3 linked regions of the Arabidopsis thaliana genome follow. The protein of the gene in region 3 purifies or fractionates together with the protein of the main gene of each other region. This does not show direct contact. Each region holds a gene or a part of one and is shown on either strand. Other genes may lie near its edges.

Evidence for each region.
Region 1: the proteins of AT4G14310 (region 3) and AT1G56080 purify together in Arabidopsis thaliana (affinity purification with mass spectrometry, with the first as the bait; one large-scale study listed by BioGRID). This does not show direct contact.
Region 2: the proteins of AT4G14310 (region 3) and KAC2 purify together in Arabidopsis thaliana (affinity purification with mass spectrometry, with the first as the bait; one large-scale study listed by BioGRID). This does not show direct contact.

The regions. Positions count from the first base shown.
Region 1 is NC_003070.9:20,974,543-20,978,296, forward strand, and holds the start of AT1G56080 (interactor of constitutive active ROPs protein), read right to left. Parts: upstream 1,831-3,754; 5' UTR 1,674-1,830; coding exon 1,404-1,673; intron 1,305-1,403; coding exon 1,236-1,304; intron 1,148-1,235; coding exon 1,094-1,147; intron 1,001-1,093; coding exon 958-1,000; intron 835-957; coding exon 799-834; intron 661-798; coding exon 415-660; intron 323-414; coding exon 277-322; intron 189-276; coding exon 110-188; intron 5-109; coding exon 1-4. Other genes in the region: AT1G56085 (Cyclophilin), read left to right, coding at 1,973-1,980, 2,231-2,358, 2,537-2,665, 2,803-2,999; AT1G56090 (Tetratricopeptide repeat (TPR)-like superfamily protein), read right to left, coding at 3,447-3,754.
Region 2 is NC_003076.8:26,167,016-26,170,769, forward strand, and holds the start of KAC2 (kinesin like protein for actin based chloroplast movement 2), read right to left. Parts: upstream 2,177-3,754; 5' UTR 1,987-2,176; coding exon 1,789-1,986; intron 1,569-1,788; coding exon 1,445-1,568; intron 1,278-1,444; coding exon 1,191-1,277; intron 1,073-1,190; coding exon 902-1,072; intron 819-901; coding exon 712-818; intron 541-711; exon of another isoform or gene 409-540; coding exon 388-408; intron 281-387; coding exon 149-280; intron 54-148; coding exon 1-53. UniProt on the Arabidopsis thaliana protein: Kinesin-like protein required for chloroplast movements and anchor to the plasma membrane. Mediates chloroplast movement via chloroplast actin (cp-actin) filaments. Required for the chloroplast avoidance response under high intensity blue light.
Region 3 is NC_003075.7:8,238,321-8,242,074, forward strand, and holds the start of AT4G14310 (Transducin/WD40 repeat-like superfamily protein), read right to left. Parts: upstream 2,005-3,754; coding exon 484-2,004; intron 249-483; coding exon 168-248; intron 121-167; coding exon 1-120. Other genes in the region: AT4G14315 (uncharacterized protein), read left to right, coding at 2,674-2,853; AT4G14320 (Zinc-binding ribosomal protein family protein), read right to left, coding at 3,521-3,705. UniProt on the Arabidopsis thaliana protein: Might be involved in division plane determination.

The sequences.
Region 1 (3,754 bases), on a different chromosome or scaffold from region 3:
TTTCCTGGCGATAAAGATTAGATAAGACCATTTTAGGATTCAAACATTATACAAATTTCAGACTAAAAGAGTTGGTTAAGGACTATGTTATGGCTTATGAGGTTATTACCTCGCGGCCCTGCTTCCGGGCGTTAAGTTCCTTGATGTTAGCCAGGAATGCACTGAACTGTTCGTAAGACAAACGGCTCCTGAAAATTCAAAACAATTCCTTATCTATCTATCACTCATTCTCATATACTAGTTGCTGGCTCTAGGAACTTTAGAACTTATATATACCTGGCTTGTCTAAAGAACTCTTTCCCATCAATCCGCGGATGCCGAGCTGTATAAGATCAAGTGAGAGGATAAGAACAAAGCCACAAATCACATGATATAAATTTAGACAACATATTAGAATGCTTTAAAGTTGTGAACCTGAAACAGAATGCGAGCGTGGAGGAGAGTTTGCTACTGAAGATTGCTGGCTAGTTGAAGACCACATACGTATATCATAATGTGAAGATGTTGGAGATGCAGCTCCAGAGAATAGCTTTGGCGATGAAGCAGCAGAGTAGCTTCTCGGAGAAGCAGCAGTAGATAAGATCTTTGGTGTTCCGCTTGGTGTAAACGCGGGAGAGAACTGCGGAGTCATAGACTGTCTTTGCCTCGCTTCACTTAAACCTGTTTCATGAACCATTACACATTGAAAATGTTTTTTTTTGTTCTTCATTATATTGAAAACATCAACAAGTCTTCTGGACTAACGTATGTTCTTTTGTTGCTACAAACTAAATTATTGGATAACTCAGCAATCAATACCTTCATTGTTTGAGTAGGATCCATTTGAATTCTCATCTACAATGCATACAGAGTAAATAACATCAGAACAAGCAACTCTTGAAGAGACTAACACATAAAGAAAAAGGAAAGACAATGAAGACCAATAAGCTCAGAATACTTGAGATGATGTTACAATACCTTTGCCTCGAGGAACCATTCTGACATCAGCAGTCTCAGTTTGCTGTAAAAACAAGAGGAGAGTATGTAACATCTGATTTTGTTTTGTTTCATATATAAAAGGATGTCAAAAGAAGTATAGTGTTGAGTAACATACAGATGGATTATCATCATTCAATGACTGCATCAATTGTCTCTTGAATGCTTCCAACTACAAGCAAAACACTAGAGCTTGAGCTTGAAATCAAATGATTAAATTTCAACAAAAATCAATACCATAACATTTGAAAAGAAAGAACCTTTGCATAATCACGACCGAGTTTCTTCGCAGTGATTGCCAGTGAATCTCGTTCTTGAGTCAGTTTCATCTTCAATCCAAAAATCCAAAAATTCAACCAATTGAGTAAAAGACACACTTTGATGATCCAAGTCAAACCAAATTTAACAAAACTGAGGAGAATTATTACATTTTCATCGACAACATTCTTCAAACTCGAGTCAGCTTCATGGTAAAGTCTTTCAAAGGAAGAGACTCTGTCTTCAAGTTCATGAACAAGCCGATCCTTCTCAAGAAGCTTCTGTCTCAAGCCGGAGACTTGAGATTCCAGATTCGAAACCCTTGAAGCGATAGCCATGGAAGTGATCTTCCTGGCGAGGTCGAGTTGATCATAAGGGTCGGTGGGAATCACGGCGAGAATCTCGTCGGAGAGGTTGAAGTCACCGCCGCTTTGAGACATCGCAAAGGGCCCTCGGGATCTTCGGCTGCCTAAATAAACTACGTGGCGTGTTTTTATTGGAAGATTCGCACTTTTTATTTGTCTTTGTCCGAGACAGAGAGAGATAGTTATATATTGACCATGAAACCCTGACCTTTTATATATTTCATGTTTAAACCCCTTTAGCTATTTGTTCTTATTTAAATACCTTCAACTTTGGTTTTGTTACAATTTAACCCTTCTTTTAAACCCCAAGAACTTGAACGATATCTGAAAAACTCAACTTTGGTTCTTCTTTTTTCTTCCCTTCCCCAACAGTAATGCTCGGGTTTGTTGATGAATGAGATAAGCTAGTGAAAAAGCGTACTACTTTCTTCTCACTTCTAATTTTTGGTTTCAGGTTATGCAGGTAGTGAACATGTCAGTTCTTATTGTGACAAGTCTTGGGGATAGAGTGATTGATATCTAACAAATAAATGCCCTTTGACCTGCAAAAAACTTTCTTAAGATCTGCAAGTAAGTGTCTTTTTGCCTATCTACTAAGTAACATTTCCATGATATTCATTATGTCTCTTAAGGGGTTTAACTTACTATATGGATAGGATCAAGTACTACAATGGGTGTCTCTTCCACACAGTGCAAAAAGATTTCACAGCACAGACCGGTGATCACAGGAGCTGGTGGGGATTCAATGTACAAGTAAGATGTTGTTTTCTTCTTACGATCTCTAATCATATGTGGATATTTTGGCCATACTTAATCTTTTGAGTCCTTTACTCTGTGTTGCCTAATGTGCTGCTTTGCCACCTCCTTATTTGTGTTTCCTACTGTCAATGCCATTAGTTTGTCAACTTTTCTAACCTCCTGTTATGTTGGATTTCCAGATTTTTGTACGGCTATGATATGGTATTTGAGGGTGATGTACCTGAAATCCCCAAGAGGGTTCATAGTCATGAGTCATGACAGGGATGAGAGGGGTGTTAGGGAGAAGATTCGTCGGACAAGTCCTCGTGGTAATGGAGAAGGCAAAAGATGGCAACAGAGATGAAAGTGACAATGAGAACAAGGCAGATAAGTACATTGGTAGAAGACAGCATCATCGGGATGAGTTAAGGGAAATGGAGAGGAGGAATGATGATGGTATTGGTAGGGAGAAGAAACACAGAGAGAAAAGAAAGAGACAATAGGGAAGATGAATACACCATGTGGAGAGTTGACGAGATAGAGATGATGATCGTCGGAGTCATAGAGATTATAAAGGAACGGCAAGAGAGACACACAGTGGAAATGGGAGAGAAGCAAGGGATGGGAGAAGGAATAGATAAAGGCATGGGCCTATTCATATGAGCTAATCAAATCTAGCTTTGGTAATGTCATGAATACAAAACTTTGGCAGTGATGTATTTTTGTGACTTATCAATAATGAAGCTTGTAAATTCCATTTCTGTTCAATTCTAAATCATTATCATCTTCATGGTGATAACAAAGCAGAGTCTCTGAGGCAAAGAAAGTATTAACAAATAGAACAACAGGCCATTTGGTTTGAACATGGTCTTCTGTATTGTGTATCTTATCTAAACTCGGTATGTTTCTTTTCGAAGATGTATAAAAAGACACAGCACATTGATACATGGTGACCGCTGAAACCAATTACAGAAGAGGCAATTCAAAACATGACTAGTCTGCTTTGGTATCACTATCCCCTTCACTCTAATGCTTTTTTCACAGCTCTCCTGTGCAATATGCAATATATCAGGATGAAAGAAACCATCCCATGTTCCTATCTACAATGTTTCACTTCACAGGACGCACCCCGACTGTCTTAACACGGAATCTGTACTGAGGTGGCGACTCATCACTGTCATCGCTGTCTTCATCGTCTTCTTCTTCACTGGAATCATCTTCAACTGTATTCCAACGGGCGTAATCGAGTGTTGAATGACCCTTAGGCTTAGGTATGGCTTGCCATGCATTAGATTGCTTTCCAGACATTGGCACTTCCTTGCTGTTCTGTTCTCTAACCTCTGGTGTTTTAGGTGCAACAACTTCCCCCTTGTTTATCGCATCTTCTCCTGTAGTCTCTAGATCTCTTCTAAGGGAAA
Region 2 (3,754 bases), on a different chromosome or scaffold from region 3:
CCCATATTGATCTTTGGCAAATTGCTCTGACAACCCGAGAGTAAATCCCTGACCTAAAAAATGAAAGTTTCTGAATTAGAAAAGACTTTCAATTTCCATTCTAGTATCGAATGCAGTATTACGACTTCAAAACGAAAAAACAAAGCACCTGTTCGTTATAAAGCTCAAACACTGAAACAGAGAAACTGAACTGAGATGCGGAAGTTGAATCAGAATTGGCCAAGTCCATAAGTTCCTCAAAACAACGAGCATATAAACCACGGTCCTGATTAGATCCTTCCTGAGAAAAAGCGACAGCATATAACTAACATCAACAGAGAGCAATTGCCTGATATATAAATCTCTCGTAAATCGATAAGATAATACTATGAACGTCCATGAACTTACTATGAACGTCCATGAACTTGCCTATCATATTTAAATCCTGTCAAATAACATGAAACTTTTTTGCGATTTCAAAGTTCAATCACATAGATATCCTCGGCTTGGTTAGAGCCAAAAAGTATTGAAACCATAAACATGCAAATAAGCAGTAAAAAGAATGAGTATATTAGAAGACTGTTCATACCCCCTGTCATTTTAGCAACTTCGAAAAAATTATTTTGTATGCATGTACCTCAAGTTAGATACTAAGCATAACAACATCGATAATACGGATACCAAACAAGACCTATATCTAATTTCAGAGAGGAAAGGGAAAGGAGGGGCAACCATGGTGTATGTCTTCCCCGCGTGAGTTTGGCCATACGCAAATATAGAAACGTTCGATCCATCCAGAGCGGATTGCACAAAAGGTTGGACATCACTGAACAGTGAAGCTGAGGAAATTTTACTGAATAAGTTCCGGATTACATATTTACAAAAGTATTGGAAACAGTTCTTAAGGAGTATTATAACTCACCTTGTCCAACTTGAGGCCCATAAACTCTATCAAATTCAAATTCCTTCTTGGGATTGGACAGAGTATCATCACTAGTGTTTACGCGTATAGTGCAGTTATCAGGAAATTCAATGATAGAGGGACCCTCGTCTTCAAATAAGGGTCTTGCTCGACAAAATACCTTTACATTCCCTGAAAGATTAAACAATAAACTATACATTCAGGGTCATATAGAACAATCTAAACCTGGTGTGATCAATATCAATAGAAGTAAGGATAGAGAATGACGTCGGAAATGGAAGATGTGCACCTTTGGTCGTCAGTAAGTCATTGAACAGTCTCTTCTTCTCATTGATAAGTGGAGATATCCTAGCCTCAGTCTCAAGTGCATATTGATCTGTGATAGGCTATGCAGATAAGTGAACAAAACACATTCCCGAATTGTAACAAAATTCCTATCACAAGAGATACATAGATATAGATGCATACACTCTAATAATGCATAGTGGCCAAAAATAAACTACACTTTCACATGGAATACACAGACGGGAACTAAAAACTTACCCAGTTTACGACTTTTATCAGCCAGAACACCTAAATAACGTGTAACCCTTTCAAGCTTCGCATTGGAGTACTCTTGAAGATCAGTAGCTTCCTGTCTCAATCCCACATAATCGTCCTTTGCAAGCTATTCAACCAAAACCAAATTTTCTTAAAAAATAGCTTAATCACACAACCGCAAAATAGCATCATTGTACTTAAAACTTGTACAAAACATCACCTCTATACTCGTCTAAACATTAAAATCATCATCTTTCACAAATTTCAAACTCATCAATAGAAAGAGCTTAGAAACATAATTCTTACTCAAACCCAAATATACAAATCTCAGAAAAACATTATCACACCTGAACTTTATCCTTCAAACTCTGAACCTTAGACGCAAGCTCCGACGAGTGCGGTGGAAGCGAGTTCTTCGGGATCGAGTACCGTCGAAGCATAGAAGACGGTGTCCGATGAACGCCTTCCTCACTAGAAGGCGACTTCTTCGATTCGAACCCAGTCACCTCCCAGTTCCACATATTGGTACTCTTCTGCTCCGCCATTTTCAAATTCACGAAAAAACCCTAATCCTATTCCAGATTTCAGCACAAACCCACCAAAATTCTCGAGCAGACAACCTCAGATTCCAAATGAAAACATTCAAAAGTTTTTGAAATTTATTACCTCCAAATCCAAAAAAAATGTGTTTCTTACTTTTGTCTCTTTGTCTCTCTCTCAGATATAAAAATGAAGGCCGAAGCAATGAGTATCATACGATGTCGTTTTTGCTTTGTTCTTCTTCTTTTTTTAATAAACAAAACAAATTAAAAATAATAAAATGACAGAGACACCAAAACGTCTTTTAAGACACAAAATATTTTGTGCTGTGCGTTAACGACGCCTTCTCGTGTTCGATTTCAGTTCATTGTTCGGTCCTTTTTTAATAGTAATACCGATCAAAATATTATAGAGTCAGGAATTTATCAAATAGAGCTTGTTTATTTGTTGAAAATGTAGAAGAAACTAAAAAAATAAACACAATGATCATTTCAAAATTACGGTGCAATGAGTATCTACAGTAGTCTCTGTATTTATTTTACTTTTCGTATCAGTAGTCTCTGTATATATTACTAATTTTAATACGATAAAAGGATGGTACCATAAGATGATGATCATGACAAAGGTGCAATGAAAATCGAATTTTAATTGATTAAATGATAATGGCACACGCAGATCTGTGTGGTGCATATGATTTTTTTTTTTTGTTATTAATTCTTTTGGAATTTTGGACCGACCAGATAGCGTGACATTGAAGGTAAATAATTACTCACTCGTATTTATACCAAGAAAAAAAAAATTGATTACAAAAGTTTTGGTGGGTCTACTTTATGAAAGAAGAAAAAAGTGTGTGGGAGAAAAATTGAGCTTTAGAGGGATAACTTCTGAATTCTCTAAAATCTACATATAATTTTACTTAAAAAGGCCCAAAGTTATTGTATTATTTTTGGACCTTAAACAGTCTACTACAATGAAAGGGCCTTATCTTAATTGTTCAGGCCCAAATGATTTTAAGCATTGACACTCAAAACAATATCTTAAAGGCAATTAAAGGAAATCTCAAGGCACTAAATATTTGTGGAAAAAAAGCTTAAAGTCTATTTAATAAAACAAAATCAGATGATGTATATTGACATTAATTACAAAATTAAATGAATTTCTAACCCAAAAAAATGGTTAGATTCTTGGCGTTATGGTACTATTTACTTTACTTGCGCTTTATATAAACTTTGGATAAATTCATGAATACCGTTGTTTAATAATTTGTTCGATGTGATATTGTAACCCGAACTAACCCAAAACTTTAACTTTATACAATTTGTTTATGTACGAAACACTTTAATAGTATGATTCAACTCATCTTCTATACCTTTTTCCTAAACTTTAAAAACTTTTTTTTAATGTATGACTAACTTTTTTTTCCTTGAAACACACTATCAAGTTATCAACGTACAGCTAAATAATTGCTTATTTGAAGCAAAAATAATGATATAAATACTGAAAAAGAAAAGTAGAAGAATCATATTCACACGCCAACAAATCGTATAATGCTGCTTCATCTAAAATTGGTCCTTCGAAAGTCACGTCCATTTAGCTCTCACGTTCTACCCGAATCAATTTTAAATCCTTAATTTACAGTCATAACACATATCTCTGATAACGTTATTTTCTGGATATGTAAGACGCAGAATTTCATTTCTATTAGGTTAATTTACCAACCGGAGTAATTTATAAATTTGTGAAAATCTCGCCTAACACAAAGTGAATAATAAT
Region 3 (3,754 bases):
AGCAGAAGCAGCTACGACATATCTGCCTGAGCAGCCATCAGCACCCGGTGCACGAACTACCCAGCAATCTCTCCAAGTGTTTGGTGAGATACCATCTGGAGGACTGTACACAGATTTCACCTGAAAAAGAATTTCAAGTCTTTGATGTAAAAGATAATAATGCATACATAGTGAACAAAGCCAAAAACTCCAGTCACTTCATACAAACGCACCCAGATTGACAGAGAATTACATTCATTAACCATAAACTGTGCATACTATTAGCCCAAAATAAAGCTTTAGTCACTAAGTATTTCTGCAAGTATAAGATGAAAAATCCAATCTAAATCAAAATAAGATATGCTAAACATCTTCTCGTAACTTGAGATATGTGTATGTTGTGGTCAATATGAGATTTTAAAATCAATGTTCCACACTAGCACAGTTCAAGTTAGATCAAACATGATACTAAAAACTTTTCATAAATGAAGAAACGCATAGTACCTCAGAGTTAGCGACATCGTAATAGGAACACGAGCCATCATCATGAGCAAGTATAACTGCCTCGCCCTCTGATACAAACCATCCTCCTGTAGAAGTTTTGGACCCAATGTCATTGAGTTGATACATGCATCCATCATCTATTTCTTCCAGCTCCATCTCCTCTCTATTCTCTTCATCATCAATTTCCTCGAGGGCTTCGTTTGCTCTAAGAATTTCAGTTAAGTTGGAAGTCAGATTGACGTCTTTTGAGACATCATTTTCCTTTGACGGCTCCTCTGTATCCATCTCCTGCACTTCCAGATTTTCCAGCGCATTCTGATCACTCATAAATGTGACTTTTTCCTTGTCAAGTGAGGCCAAGAACTCTAGAGCTATCGCATTCTCCTCAACAGGAGCTGACGGCTTTTCTTCAGCATTCACTGCCTTGTTGGACTCAACAGAATCATGGCCTTTTGAGACATGCGAAGATGTTTTGGACTGAGTTCTGCTCCTTAGCAACCTCTGGTGAGGCAAGAGTCTGTCTTCCAGCTCTTCCTTATTTAATCCTTTCACAGAACTTTTTGCTTTCGTAGTTTTGTTTTTCTCTGGACCATCAATAACATGACTCATAGACTTTTCAATCCCTGTGATTTTCTGATGTATATCAGAGATTATAACCTTAGACGAATCCGGATTGTTCAAATCCAGCATATCCTTTGTCTTCTTGATATCTGATGCAATTTTCTTAACCTTTCCTTCAAGAAAAGCAAGCTTCTCGTGCAGCTTGCTTGGATACTTAGCAGTACTATTGCTGCTTCCTTCATTTCCTCTTATATCCTTTGACATCTCCATTGCCTTCCCAACATTATCCAAAGACTTCCTTCTTAAAGCTACACTAGTCCCTTTCCCAGTCTTTTCAATCTTACTATCAGATTTCAAAGCAACAGTAGATTTCTCTCCAGAACCAACTAAAGCATGTGCCTTTGGATCAGAAATTGAATTTCTCGCCACACTAGAACCTTCAAATTTGCTTGAATTCACTGGACAACTACTTCCTTCATCTGCTTTCTCACAAACACTACTTGGCTCAACCTTAATTTCACTCGTACCCTGTTTGAATCCAGAACTCTTGAGCCCAGACTTCTTATCCTGACCCGATTCACCCTTTTCCCCAATAACCCTAGATTCATTTCTCTTTCTCAAATCCGAGAAAACCCTAATCAAATCAGATGGACTAGAACTCCTACCTCGCAAACCAGATGACGTGGATCGCGTAACCCGACCCTCGCCACTCACGGCGGACTTATCAATGCGCGGTACAGGCCGGAGCACTGGCTTCTGAGTCGATCCAAATGAGCGGTGACTAAGCTTCGGATTCGGATTCTCTTTGCTGGATAATGATTTCTGAAGAGCGGGATTTGAATTTTTGCTTGAGATCGGAAGTGGAGTTACAGACCTCAATGGTTTTTTACCAGATGATGGATTTTCACCGGCGCCGGTGTTTATATCTTTTAGCCGGCGGCGATTCGTTGAAGCTGACATCTGCAAAATCGTAGGGTAAAATGATTTAGGATTTTGAAAAAAAAGTTTGGGGGAAAAATAAAAGCTTTTGATTTTTGAAGAAAAAGCACAAAACGATAAATGGAGGATATCACTACCGCAACTCCACAAGCCGACAAATTTATTAGAGTTTCAATTTCAAAATATTTGGGCGGGATTTCCAAAAAAAAAACTCAAAATTTTTGGAGATCGCGAATGTTCAAAAAGTCGATTGATTAACGAAACGCAGCGTTTAGGTAAATTTATTAAACACGTGATAGCAACAAATGCAGAACGCGACATTTTGAAACACGTGGCAGTGTAGAAATAGCGACACGAATTTTGTTAACTAAAACGCTGCGTTTTTAATAAAATATACAGTAACAGTTGAATAGTTGATTGCGACACGAAACGATGCGTTTAGGGTATGCTGTTTTTAAAACACGTGGCAGCAACAAATAAACCGAAACGCAGCGTTTTGAGGTGGTTATTAACGTGAAAGGTCTCGCCAGTTTTTGTGTTTCATGCATTAGTACACGAAACGTTGTCTTCTACTTCTCGGGGAAACGACACAACCGTAGATTTGATGTCTGAATCTGTGTATATATAACTTCTCCAATTAGAGACACTAACACAGAATTGATCACTACTCCTATCGAAAAGTAGACGAAAATGGCGAATGAGTATGGATTCGGGATGGGTTCGGTTTTGGCGATTGTTGTCGTTGCACTAATGTTACTGTTTGTTCCGTTGATGATGGGACCGGTGACTGCACCATCTCTTCCAATGATCTTGATGTTTCCGGTCGTATTGCTCTTTGTGTTTCTCTATCTCCATTTTACTTCCAAGTGATCAAACATCAAATCTCTTTCTATTATTATCGTGTAATATGCAGTACGTATTTATTTCGATAGTATTGCTCTTACGTTTTTGGTTATACATTTATAAAAACAAAAATTGTATTTGTTCTATTATATACAATATATCAATTGACTAACGCATGCGCAGTTGGTTTGGATCTCTATTGATTTGCAAGTAAATTTTTTGGATTTATCTTTCTTTCTCACTTCGTTTCTTACATTATTAGAGAATTTGACTTACATCGCGATGTATGTTTTACAAGCAAGTAGAATCGATGCCACTTTCCTTAGATATTAGCGTAGTAGACAATGTCAATGATCGAGAAATATACACAAAAGTACCTAACTTTTGTCAGCATGAACAGATTTGAATGATATTACGTAATTGTAGAGAAGAAACTTACCTTAAAATTAACACCTCTAAAAGGTAAGAATGTGTTAGTAGAAAATGGCTATTCATATTGTAAAATTAAAAGGCCGTATAATTAGTACAGAGGAATTCGACTTGGAAACAGAAAATTAGAGATTAAATAAAACACGAATTTTAAATAACGGAAATAAAACTTTAGTGTAAATTATCTATACCCATAATATATATAGTACCAGAATCTAAGTATAATAAAGTAAAAAAAGAAAAACTGAAGTAGCATCCTTGACCGTCACCACATCTTCCGCCGCTGGCTGCCTGGCTCCACCACCACCACTACTACATTCACCGGTTCATTGTCAATACCACCACCAACAGGTCCTTCTCCTCTATCACCACAGCAGCCAGGACCACCACAGCAGACACAAGAGAATATCATCTCATCTACCATTTTGCCCGCACAGCTCTCAATTAAAACTAACACAAAGGCCAAAACACATAGGACTATCATGGTAATATAAAAAGA